3 linked regions of the Oryzias latipes genome follow. The protein of the gene in region 1 purifies or fractionates together with the protein of each later gene. This does not show direct contact. Links are inferred from orthologs where the notes say so. Each region holds a gene or a part of one and is shown in the gene's direction. Other genes may lie near its edges.

What was found.
Region 2: the proteins of sumo1 (region 1) and hif1a purify together in Homo sapiens (co-immunoprecipitation; 3 studies listed by BioGRID and IntAct, with this or other methods). This does not show direct contact. The link is inferred for Oryzias latipes from reciprocal best matches to the Homo sapiens genes SUMO1 and HIF1A.
Region 3: the proteins of sumo1 (region 1) and microphthalmia-associated transcription factor purify together in Homo sapiens (affinity purification with western blotting; 3 studies listed by BioGRID and IntAct, with this or other methods). This does not show direct contact. The link is inferred for Oryzias latipes from reciprocal best matches to the Homo sapiens genes SUMO1 and MITF.

Annotation. Positions count from the first base shown.
Region 1 is NC_019860.2:9,899,682-9,903,592, reverse strand, and holds sumo1 (small ubiquitin-related modifier 1), read left to right. Parts: upstream 1-1,479; 5' UTR 1,480-1,500; coding exon 1,501-1,512; intron 1,513-1,886; coding exon 1,887-1,961; intron 1,962-2,213; coding exon 2,214-2,291; intron 2,292-3,103; coding exon 3,104-3,175; intron 3,176-3,251; coding exon 3,252-3,320; 3' UTR 3,321-3,341; downstream 3,342-3,911. UniProt on the Homo sapiens protein: Ubiquitin-like protein that can be covalently attached to proteins as a monomer or a lysine-linked polymer.
Region 2 is NC_019880.2:11,968,790-11,973,074, reverse strand, and holds the start of hif1a (hypoxia-inducible factor 1-alpha), read left to right. Parts: upstream 1-1,428; 5' UTR 1,429-1,712; coding exon 1,713-1,744; intron 1,745-4,285.
Region 3 is NC_019865.2:20,303,966-20,308,361, reverse strand, and holds the start of microphthalmia-associated transcription factor, read left to right. Parts: upstream 1-1,533; 5' UTR 1,534-1,686; coding exon 1,687-1,790; intron 1,791-4,396. UniProt on the Homo sapiens protein: Transcription factor that acts as a master regulator of melanocyte survival and differentiation as well as melanosome biogenesis.

The DNA of each region.
Region 1 (3,911 bases):
GATTCTTCAAAGTTAGAATATTGAAGATTACATCAAATCAAACTTTATTTATATAGCTCTTTTCCTACAAAAGCACAACCGAACGTGCTTTGCACCAATACAAAATAAATAAATAATATAAAAACAAACACGAAAACTATATATACATTTAAAAAACGCCTCTCTCACCCTCCGCGGGTGGTTTCTCCTCCAAGCTCGGGTCCTCTACCAGAGGCCTGGGAGCTTGAGGGTCCTGCAGTATCTTAGCTGTTCCTAGCACTGCGCTTTTCTGGACTGAGAGGTCTGAGGTCTTTCCAGGGATCTGTTGTAGCCACTCCTCCAGCTTGGGGGTTACTGCCCCGAGTGCTCCAATTACCACAGGCACCACTGTCACATTCACTTTCCATGCTTTCTCCAGTTCTTCTCTGAGTCCCTGGTATTTCTCCAGTTTCTCATGTTCCTTCTTCCTGATGTTCCCATCGCTTGGCACTGCCACATCCACCACAACGGCTTTCCTCTGTTCTTTATCCACCACTACAATGTCTGGTTGGTTCGCCATTACCATCCTATCAGTCTGGATCTGGAAGTCCCACAGGATTTTTGCCCTCTCATTCTCTACCACCTTCGGAGGTGTTTCCCATTTTGACCTTGGGGTTTCCAGTCCATATTCTGCACACATGTTCCTGTATATTATTCCAGCTGCTTGATTGTGGTGCTCCATGTATGCTTTCCCTGCCAGCATCTTACACCCTGCAGTTATGTGCTGGATTGTTTCAGGCGCTTATTTGCACAGCCTACACCTTGGGTCTTGTCTGGTGTGGTAGATCTGAGCCTCTATTGCTCTGGTGCTCAGGGCTTGTTCCTGAGCTGCCAGGAGGAGCGCATCAGTGCTGTCCTGTAGGCCAGCCCTCTCTAGCCATTGGTAGGACTTCTTGATATCAGCCACTTCAGTTATGGTCCGGTGGTACGTCCCATGCAGGGGTTTGTCTTCCCATGAGGATCTGTCCTCCAGCACTGTATCCTCTGCTCTCCATTGCCTGAGACATTCACTGAGCACACTGTCGGCTGTCGACTGTTTCATCCTCTCTCTCTCTCTCTCTCTCTCTCTCTCTCTCTCTCTCTCTCTCTCTCTCTCTCTCTCTCTCTCTCTCTCTCTATATATATATAGTTATTTATTAAATTATCATAAAATGCTATTTTTTAAGCCCATGTTAAAAATATATAAATTTAATCTAAACATATATATTGCATTTGAATATTGAACAGGAGTAAAGACTTCATAATACTGGAAAAGGCAAGGTTTTTGTATGAGTGTGTGTGTGTGTGTGCGCGCGCGCGCTTTTCTTATGGAGACAATCCGCTACAAAACAAATTCCTTCACGCGACTTTTATTTTGAACAGCCCTGCGTCACTTCCGTTTGATGTCGCATTCCTCACAACATAAAGCAAGAGCCACCGCTAAAAGCTAACGCTACACCTTGAAGGGATTCCCTCCCCCTCCCGCACACAGTCAGGATAAACATGTCAGACACGGTAAGAAAAAGAACGTTGAAGAGTTCGAATGATTTTCTGTCAACACTTTACTAAGAAATCGATAATGTGTTTGTTATGGACGCTGCCTCGTACGTGATTATCTAACAACATGCTAACCGTTAGCTGTTCTAGCTGCAGGCCTCTGACTGAACTTAGCGATTTTTTTTTACCCTCCACGTGAGCTTTTGTGTAGTTTTTTGAGATTTTTTTTTGGGGGGGGGGTCAGAACTGGTGCTGGCGGGACCGAACCCACACTCGTGTCTATGGTGGATGTTCTCTGTGTTCGTGGAACCCGCGGAGTAAACAGACGGGCCTTCCTCGAAAGCGTGCTAGCGGTCGCATCATGTAGCAATGTTTTGTGATGTTTCTGTCAGGAGACGAAACCTTCCAATCAGGACGGAGGCGACAAGAAAGATGGAGAGTACATCAAACTAAAAGTGATCGGTCAGGTAGGTTGTTTTTGTGTCTCTGCTTTTGTTGTCACTACTGTCTGCATTTAGAAATAAACCGTATTCTACTCCATTTCAAATAAAGTTATGGCACGTGGTGGTGTCTCTATTATTGTTTATAGAAGGCTATTATTTTTGGTCAATGATTCTGCCAATTCTTTATCATTTACAGATGTATTCGTTTTAATGCTGGAAGTTGTTATTGTTTTTGAGCTGCATCACCTTTTTGTGTGTGTCCGTTTCTGCCCACAGGACAGCAGTGAAATCCACTTCAAGGTGAAAATGACCACACATCTAAAGAAGCTGAAAGAGTCTTACAGCCAGAGACAGGTATGAAGAGGAAGACGCATCGCCACTTTTCCAATGACAGCCTTCGCAGATCCATCCAAATGCAGTTCCTTATGGTAGAACACGCCATTATTTAAAAAAAAGATAACTCTGATCATCTTTTGATCTATTGCAAAAAATAAAAAGTTCCTAGTGATTTTTATTTATTTTTTTGACACGCTCTCCCGCTAGCTTACTAAGACTCCCAAGCTAATATTAGCAGTGCAACAAAAATGGCGAGCAATATCGGAGCTATCCAGCTGCACAGTTTGGATCCGGATGCTCGGACGAGGAAAATAAAAAAAAGTTACACGAGTCTATTTGTCTGCAAGGGAGCCTTGTGGCTTGCCGTAGTAGCTTTGGAATCATACCTGCAACCTTTTTCCAACTAAGTTTAATTTTGTCTGCTCCTGATTCACAACGATTTTAAATATAAAAAAAAAATAACCCAATTTTAAATGTAATTTTAAGCTTAATTTTCTTTAACCCTTGTGCTATCCTAGGCCCTTTAACATTAGGAGTTGGGTCATCTAGACCCACTAGACAGTGCGCTTAACCTTTCTTCTTCAATGATTTGTGATCTTCACTGGTGTCCATGGATTACATGAAATCTTTCCACTTTTGTCATGGTAGGGAGAACACGTCAATGTAAGGGTGGGGTCATCTAAGATAGCATAAGGGTTACACCTAAAAGCTCGTCTATGTAATCGTTACTCGTGCTCCTAGCGCCTCGCGGCGGCGTTCAAGGAGAGCTGATTGAAGGAAAAATAAAAATCTCCTAATGGTCTAACAGCAGAGGATGACGTTTCTTTCAGGGAGTCCTGGCGAGCACGCTACGGTTTCTTTTTGAGGGACAGAGAATCGCAGATAACCAAACCCCAAAAGAGGTAAGCGACACTCGCAAGAGCGAAAACCAAGCACTAGTGGTCACTAAGGTTTGTGTTTTCTTCTGTTTTTTTATAGCTGGGCATGGAGGATGAGGACGTCATCGAAGTTTATCAAGAACAGACCGGCGGACTTTGGAATCATTAAAGCCACAATTTCTGATGTTTTTTTTTCTTCTTTTTTTTCCCCTTTTATTCATGTTTTTTATCATTTGGTTTTGTATGTATGTATGTATTTCTGTTAAGTTTCAAACCATCTGAATCAAAAAAGCAAAAGGACTCAATCAGGGCTTCCATGTGTGCGGTCGGGGAGGCGGACAGACCGAGGACTCGAACCTGTGGCTCTGCCGTCGGAGGACACTCTAAGATTTTTACCGGCAACCATTTCGCTTTCGTGTTTTAAATTTTTATTTTATCAACCTTGCTGGAATGATGTGCTTTTGCAGGAAAATGGTTTTTAGGAGCTTCTTCCTCCCCAAAATGTTTTTTAAAATTGTCTCATAGAGGAAATATGTCAGATGGCATTCTGGGTAAGTGCGGTTACAGAAACCGTAAAAAGAAACCGATCAGAAGCATACCAGAGCGGCATGCTTCTGATCTTTCCATCTATTCAAAACAAAAAAAGTTGTTTTCCTGGAACGGACCAAAGCGTCTGTCCAAATGAAGGGGGGCGGGGCTAAACGAGGGAGCAGGTCCATTTCCTGTTGATCTATTCCACTCTCAGATGAGGTTGGGTCCT
Region 2 (4,285 bases), on another chromosome or scaffold:
CCACATTTGCCTCGACTCGCACATTTTCTCATTGCAGACCAAGAGAGGATAAACAGGAAACCACAGAACGTCTCTACAATCGCTTTTAATCGAAACAGGAAAAAAAACATGAGTGACAGTATTTTCTTGTCTGCTACGTGGGGAAGCATTTGGAGATTTGGCAAAAAAAATGAGCCCCGCTAAGCTCTTGAGGTTAAAACGGCACAGACGGACCCTTCCTGTGAGTTTGAATGTGGAAGTCGCTGAGCTCTACGTGTGTTTATCACTTCAAGCCCGTGTTCTGTGGTGGACTAGAAGCTGATTCAAGACAAAAGAAAAAATTTTGCTTTCATTCATTTTTCAACAAAAAATGCATATAAATTTACATCAAAGTCTGCTGACCTGTTAAGACTTCCCTTATTAAGTCAATAAAGTTCATTGTGTCTATAAGATTAACTGACTTATTGGGTTATGTCAGGTATGTGTAAAAACACAAACCGTGTCTGATAAAAAATAACCCAAGAAGTCAGTTACCTTATTAAGGATTTTCCTCCTAAGTAATAACCTGCAACATAACCACGGTTTGTGTATACTGTATATATGTCATGTTTGGCAGCTGTCTGTAGGTTATATCTGAATCCACCCCATCTTTAATTACATCCAGAGCTTCCGGCAGCTTCCAGCAAAACCTTATTGAGTCCCCAATCTCACTCTGCTGTCCAGCATCTTTGACTGATAATCCCTTGAATCGGAGGAGATAATGAAAAAGACTCCACACAGAGACCCTCCAAGTAATTCCCCTATAGCAATCTTCAGGTTGATGCATTTCCAGTCCACAGGCCTATTGCTTTGTACTCTCAAGCTTGCTGTTTCTGCAGCAGCTCTAAATGAGTCAAGGAAAAGTTTTTTTTTCTCTGTCGAATGATACCTTTTATTTTCATTTTTACAGAATTGTGTCTTTGAATTTTAGGAGCAGATTACAACACAAATAGAAAACATACTTTATAGTAACTTTCCATTTATTTTTGTAAGGCAAATGTTAACTTTGCATTGTTTGTGTTGATCCATCCATGTGTCTGACAAGGAATAGTGACAGACTACTCAAAACAAAAGATGTTTCCACTATAAAAGCACATAAATAGCATAAATAAGGTAAATTAAAAAAAATTGCAAAAGGCCTTAAAAGGTAGAATTTGTATAAAAAACATAAGATGTAAACAATTACACATTTTTTGTATGTTTAGATACAATTTAAAAATCTTGTATCAATTATTCCCTGGAACATACATACCTTAACCTATTTGCCCTAAAATTGCATTACTTTTAATAAGTCACGCGCCATGCAGGCAGCAAAAATGTGTGCAATTTTAAGCAGCAGGTGATTTTAGCTTGCAGCGCGCGCCCCCGTTGGTGGAAAATAAGGACACGTGATTGCGCGTTCCCGGGAGGCAGCAGGAGGAGTCAACGATCCTTCGCGAGGCAACATTGTCTTAGCAAGAAGCGCGTCTCCTGCGTGGCACATTTTCCTTAACCCTACGGAAAGTATACCGAATAGCCCGATTTGAGCCAAAGAGAGTTTGATTTATCCAACAAAGGATATCTGCCTCGAACTCTTATGCAACCCACTTGAGAGGCAACGGATTAACATTGAGGGATTGTGGTTCATTTTCTGACGCGCCCGGATACAGCTTCACACCGATAGAGAGGCTAAACTCAAGTCCTTTCGTCCTGACATGGACACAGGATTTGTACCCGAAAAGAAAAGGTAACGTCACAGTTTGCTAACGCCGCTACTCGTCTGCTTTTCGTTTTAAACATTTCTAAACATGTTTTTCTTTTGTTAGAACTTTAATATTCACTTACGTTTACTACTCTCTACGGTCCAAAATTTCTAGCTTACTGCCAGTTTGGTGTGTTTGTTGGACTTCATACGAATGTCATCGCTGCTAGTAGTGTCGTTAGCAAAAATGCTAACATAGCTAGCTGTCGGAAATGGTGTTATATTGAAAGGTCGGCGTCAACCTGTCTATTTACACTAAATCTTTATATTGAAATAATTTAATGTGCTGGAATTTTTAAAATGTAGTTTATTTACGTCATTAAAACCGTTCTCTGCGTTTCCCTCCATCATCATGTGCTTTTTGTTCGGAAACTTCTTTAGATCCCAGCAGATGTGGTCGATTTTCTAAATCTTAATAATTAATAATACTTCGATTAATATTTGCAGTTTTTATACATCTAGTTACATTTGAGTAGATCAGTGGATTTATGTGGTTTAATAGTATTGACTGGTCAGTGAACACCTGCTGCTCACGTGTGACTTGTGGCCTGAAGTTCCTCCTTGTCTGCTTAAGTTTTAGTCGTTTTGAATTTGAGACTAAAGATTCATTTTAAAACTCTTGTTTTAGCCTTTTGTTTTGCTGAAAGTTGCTTTTTAAAAACCCATTTTAGAAAAAATTTGTTTCACCAAATGCCTTTGGTATTATATTATTATTGCTTTCCAAAAAATAATTAGATTTAGAGTAACACTCAACCATAATAATAATAGCAACAATAGTAATAATGATGTAAGATATAAAGGTTGTACAAGTGTCGTGCAACAGAGAAACTTTAAAGTTTCAGTTAATTTCGTTACTTTTAAGGTTAGGCAGCCATGTTTATTATTTGAAAGTTGTAGTTTTTTTACACAAAATTAACAATCATTCTATAATAAAATGTACAATTCAGTGAATAGAAATTATTGATAAAAACAACTCATTTGTAAACTGAACTACCAGTTTATCAAAGCTGATGCAATGAAGGGTAATCACATTTTACTAAATTGAATGATGTCTGGATTTTAATACATTGACAAAGTAGGATATTTATGATAAAATAATTGTGTTCTTTACTCTATTACAATTGATCTGACATTTTGGTTTAAAATATTAATCAAAATATTTGTTGACATTTTTTATAGACATAATACATATTAATTTTTAGATTTTACATATTATTTTATAACTTTTGTAATGTAAGTTTCTCATCTTAAAACAGCCATGTAACTTTGAACATTTAGTATACAGTATTTTGCATGAAGCAGAAATGTAATAAAGAAATGTATGTTCAACAGGAAAAAGTAAAAAGAAAAAGGTTTCCTCCCAGCAAGACATATTTTCTGACTTCCCCCCCCCCATAACTTTAATTCCCTGATGTACCACTTAATAACAAAAAATTTTTACCTACAAAAGCTCATAATGATTATGATTCAGCTGCTGGTGAAAAATATGAACATAGTGAATAGTAGTAAAAATTTGTGATGAAAAAACCCTTATAGTTCAGAAAGAAAACTTTATTTTTTTACACTGGTCAAGCACAAAGAGTGGCTAAAAGTTGAAAACTAAGTACATATCCTACTGCATCTGTCTGCCTAAACAGCTAAATGTGTGGTGGTTTTAGAGCTTTGTTTAGATCTAGATAATGGGGTCATCATTTAAACTGGAAATAAACACGTGTTCAGTCTTGGCCATTGTGGCAGTTTATTCTGATTTAGTTCTTTCAGACCTCCGTAAATTGTTTTGCTATAATTTCTGTCTCATCTCTTAATCACAGGGTCTTGACGTCAATGGGAGTGGCTAAAAGTGTGTAGGAATTCACTGAGTGGCGATGGGTGCTTCCTGTGAGGCATTCAAGGAGCAGACTAGTTAGAACTAGAAACAGATTACCTGGATTATATAGAAGGACATGTTTCTGTTTTTTGCCAAAAATATAACTTTATGGCTGTTTCCTGAATTGAATTAAATTAAAGTTGAAATTAGGATTTTTGTATAATTACCTACTGTGACTATGTTGGGGGTTTTAACCACTGGGAAGTGCAGACTTAGAGGTCAGAGATGGATGTTATGTCATAACAGAAATCTTAAGTGAGAGGAACTCTTGTGAGCTGTTTAACTTTTTGATCCCTCATAAATATGCCAAAAGGCTAACGAAGATTGTTTCTTTGTCTTTTGAGTTGTTTTTTTTGTTTTTTTTGGTGTTAAAGCTGCAAAGATCAACGGGTTATGGGCCCAGAAGCAACTAAAAAGAAATCTTAGAAAAAAAAATATGATTGATGATTTTATTATACATGAAAATTTGTGGCGATTATCATGCTAACGTCGGGATAAATTCACAAGAATGCTCCATCACTTATATTTGATGTTAATAAAAGCAAGTTTGAGCAATGTCAAAACTTGCTTTTTGACCCAATAGTGAAGCTAAAGAGCAGCAGGCGCTCAGAAAAATGCAGATGAGAGATGCAGCTGTTAATCAAAGAAAAGCACTGAGA
Region 3 (4,396 bases), on another chromosome or scaffold:
ACCCAAGACTCTGTTTCTTAGTTTTCAAGGCTTCACCTCTCAGCAGAAGCAAACTTTCATTTGACATGTCAAAAAAAAAAAAAAACTCAAACTGGTTCAGCAGGAAAAGGAGAATGCAAATAATCCACTTTTGTCTCAGCTGGTTGACGTTGACTTTGACTTTAAAACTCTACTGCCCCTTAGTGGTAAATAGGAGCCAAAGCCTGCAGTTGAAAAACAGCTGGCAAGAACTGGAGTTAAAAAAAAGTGATATGTATTTGTCTTAAAAGGCCAAGGGACGATAACAAAATACTAATACTACTGCTACTAATAATAAAGGATTTTAAAAGGAAAAAGAGTTGATTATGTTTTCAAATCTCTGCCTGGGTGATTGCATAAATAAACTGATGATTAATTGTTTTAATGAAAATATATCTTTAAAAAAAAGACATAATATATATATATATATATATATATATATATATATATATATATATATATATATATATATATATATATATATATATATATATATATATATATATATATATATATATAATTTTTTTTCTGTGATTTTTTTAAACAAAAGGTCTTGACCAAAATAGTTGATACTTTTTATCACGTCATTTTTATTTCTACACACTCTACGTCTTAATTGTAACAACTGACCTCTACAAATTAAAAGTTCATTTTCAGAGTCAAACAGACTTTGACAGTTTAATTTTCAACAGGCACATTCAACAGGCTGTAAAAAGCCAATATAATGCATCACTGGGATATATATCTCAATCAATATTTAGCATACGATGTAAACATTATTGCAGAATATTAATATTTATAATTATTTATAATTATTATTATTATTATTATTATTATTTATAATTAGACGGCTCATGTTGCCTGTGTTAGCGACAAAGTCAGAGAAGCCAGACTGAGATGGTTTGGACATATTCAGAGGAGGGATAGTGGATATATTGGTAGAAGGATGTTGGAGATGGAGCTGCCTGGCAGGAGGGCAAGAGGACGGCCAAAGAGGAGATATATGGATGTCTTAACAGAGGACATGAAGTTGGCTAATGTTAGGGTAGAAGATGTCCATGATAGAGTGAGGTGGAAAAGGATGATTCGCTGTGGCGACCCCTGATGGGAAAAGCCGAATGAGAAAGAAGAAGATTAATATTTTAGTCTAAAGAAAATTATAGCCAGCCTATTGTATTTTCTATTTCTTTTGATTCACAACTATTTGGATAGAGAAATACTTGATACACTTTAAGCCTAATTTTCTTTACATATGTCCTCCATCATCAGATAAATGCTTGAAAAACATGTTAAAAACACAAAAAACGCGATTTCGATCGGAGTGGGTCTCTAAAGGTGTTTATGGGACAGAAATCACCTGCTCAGTGAGCAGGTAAAGCGTCTGAAACCCCGTCGCACCTCGCAGCCAATCAAAGCTAACGCGACATTGACAGCCTTTTGATGCATTGTGGGACTTGTAGTTAGGTCGTATGCCACAGCGCGTTAGCGGGGCTGTTATCACAGCTGGAATAGACTACAGAGGTTCGTGTCCCGGGCAGAGGCGGCTTGCGTTGACAGTTGGTTGGTCCTCGAAGAAGCGCAGCGGCTCCAACATCGCCCCGCAGTTTTGTTTTGTTTTACTTGTTTGTGGGTTTTTTTTACGTTCTGGAAAAGTTGACGTCTGCAAGTATGCAGTCCGAATCCGGAATAGTTCCTGACTTTGAGGTCGGCGAGGACCTTCAGGACGAGCCTAAAACGTACTATGAGCTGAAGAGTCAACCTTTGAAAAACAGGTCAGTCCATTTCCCGTGGACAGTTATTTCCCACTCTGAAGCGGTTTTCAGGTTTGGGTGATAATTAGCCTCCGAGCTGTCTACTGAGCGTCGCGCGGAGGCCGAGCGCGCGCGAGGCTGTCCCGGCGGGGGGGGGGGATGTGTTGCCCAGCTGTGGAGTGGGATTCGGCTGCCTCTCATTCAAAGTTATGCAACACTTGGGTGTTGTCTTGTCAACATCAACTTCAAATATTGGCTCGTGGAGGAGCAGACAGGTCAGAGTTGAGTGAGATGCTGCTCACGCCAGGGACTCCTAACACAATTGATGCTACTTTATTTTTTATATTTCTGTCAAGAATGACTCCAAATGGACCTCAAACAATGTTAGTCAAACCCATTTATTTCATTATTATTTTAGTAAAATATCGATGCTTCATGAGATTTCCCCTTCAAAATAAAAGCACATTCAGAGGCTGCTGGAGGGGTGTAAAAGGTGACCAGTTGTCATAATAGTTGTCCAACCCGATGACCCTGATGTCTAATGTTGCAAGAGTAATTTTGGGGACTATCCGAACTGTGTACAAGTTGCTGAGTCAGCTTTAAGTGGCCCAAATCTGCCTTTCCGCCTTTTTTCAGGAACTTCTGCAGAGCCAGCATGCAATATAGGTTATTTTATTAGATCAGCTGTTAGGATGGAACACTCTAAGAATAGGAGTCAATTATGAATCTGATATATAAAATTGTGTAATTAGATTGAACAAACCATTGTTTCCTATTCGTGGCAAGCCTAAAGTGTAATTTTTAGGAAAGATGATGACTTGGAGTGACGGATTCGTGGATTCGTCAGATATGTGCTAAAGATGGATGAGCAGCGGCATCCTCACTTTTGATGCAACAACATGACTTCTCTCTGGGTGACATGTGAGCAAAACGAAACACCTCAGACTCTTCCTTCAACTTAGGAGCTGCAAAGCTGCTAATGATGACATGCGTCAACAAACTGCGATCCCATTCTCTCCGTCTCCTGTCGTCACCTTAGAGTTTGATTCCCTCAAGGCTGTCCTTGCTGCTGCCAGATCTAGACAGCCACAAGACAGAGCGCCACTGTTCTCAAACAAAGCAGTTTTTTTTCCTGTTGCCCTCCCTCCCTTCTGTTTCTCCGTATTTTGCTGTGGAGTTGCAGCTTTTCTCCTCTTTATTTCTTTCTTTAAGTCGACCAAAAACATAAGCTAAGAGAAAATCGCATAAATCTCATGAAACTATAACCTTTAGCCCAGTTTTTCCTTTTCTTTTTCCAAGTAATGTCAATTTCGTCATTAGTGAAATGTCATTACATTGTTACACGTACATAGACCAAGTCGGAGATGCCGCAAGAGTAAATATAACCCCTGAAATATCAACACAGTTGGCTAGTATGACAGAACATAGTTGAGAACATGTGGGATTTTTCTAAGCCTTTTGCTTTTATTGTTTTTTTTTTTTTAAATGTCCCACTTCCCCTTTCCATCACATGAGCATGATCTATCATAACAATGACTGTGTTGGGAGCCGTTATGACACTAAAGATTGATTATTTGGCGTTGCCCAAAAGTCAGGTAAGAGCTGCTTCGTCCCAGCTGCTTCGGAAGGAGAAATGTTGACAGTGACACAGTATCACCTCCGTTTCACGGATAGGTTTGCTTCCCTGCTGTCCCCAATCAGGCCGACAGAGCGAGCTGCTGCAGACGCTGTCCTGGACTTTCAGTGCCTATATTTAGATGTGAGGCAGACGCTGAACTAGTCTTATATGCAGTGTAAATAAGCTGTATAAATTTAGCCGTAGAAGTGTTAAATCTGAAATAAGTGGGGTTTTTTTGTGTGTGTATGTGCGTTCTCAAGCAAACTCTCGAAGCTAAACTTTTACATTGTTAAGCCCGTTTACATCCATTTAATATATTGGATTTCTTGAATTATGCGATTTTTCAAGTGACCGTGCAAACAGGAGAGTCTGATATCCTTTATCTGATAGTACCGAGATAAAATCGCATTAAGATTTCTAAGATTCCGTATTCCTCTCCACAAGCTAATGCAACCACCAGTTTGCCTAAAACAGGCTGACAGTAGGGCTTGAAAGTGACAGGATTGCATATTCTCATCCTCCAATCATCTTTTGAGTTATTTTACAAGCATTCCCAACAAGCCCTTGTTTAAATATGATTATACCATAGTCCGAGTGAATACTCGATTCTGATTGGCCATTCATCAAAAATTCTGAGTTGTGGGCAAGGCTGTTGGGACAGTAAAACCCGCCCCTTTCCCCCATCTTCATCGCTAAGACCTCAGAGCAGGGAGCTTGTGGCCCACCAAGCTTATTCTCTTCATCACAAATACATTGTTTTTCAAAAGGCATTTTGTTTGTTTGCTCTTGATTCACAACAATTTCAATGAAGACATTCCTCATAAATGCAATTTTAAGCTAAATTTACTAAATAAATGTCTTCCATCATCAGAAAAATGCCACAAGAACACGTTAAAAACACATTTCATTTTCATTGGAGTGGGTCTTTACAATGCATTGCAGCTAGTGCTGTGGAGTCCATTTACATGCCCACAAAAAAATCCGGTCATATCTGATATTAGACTATTCA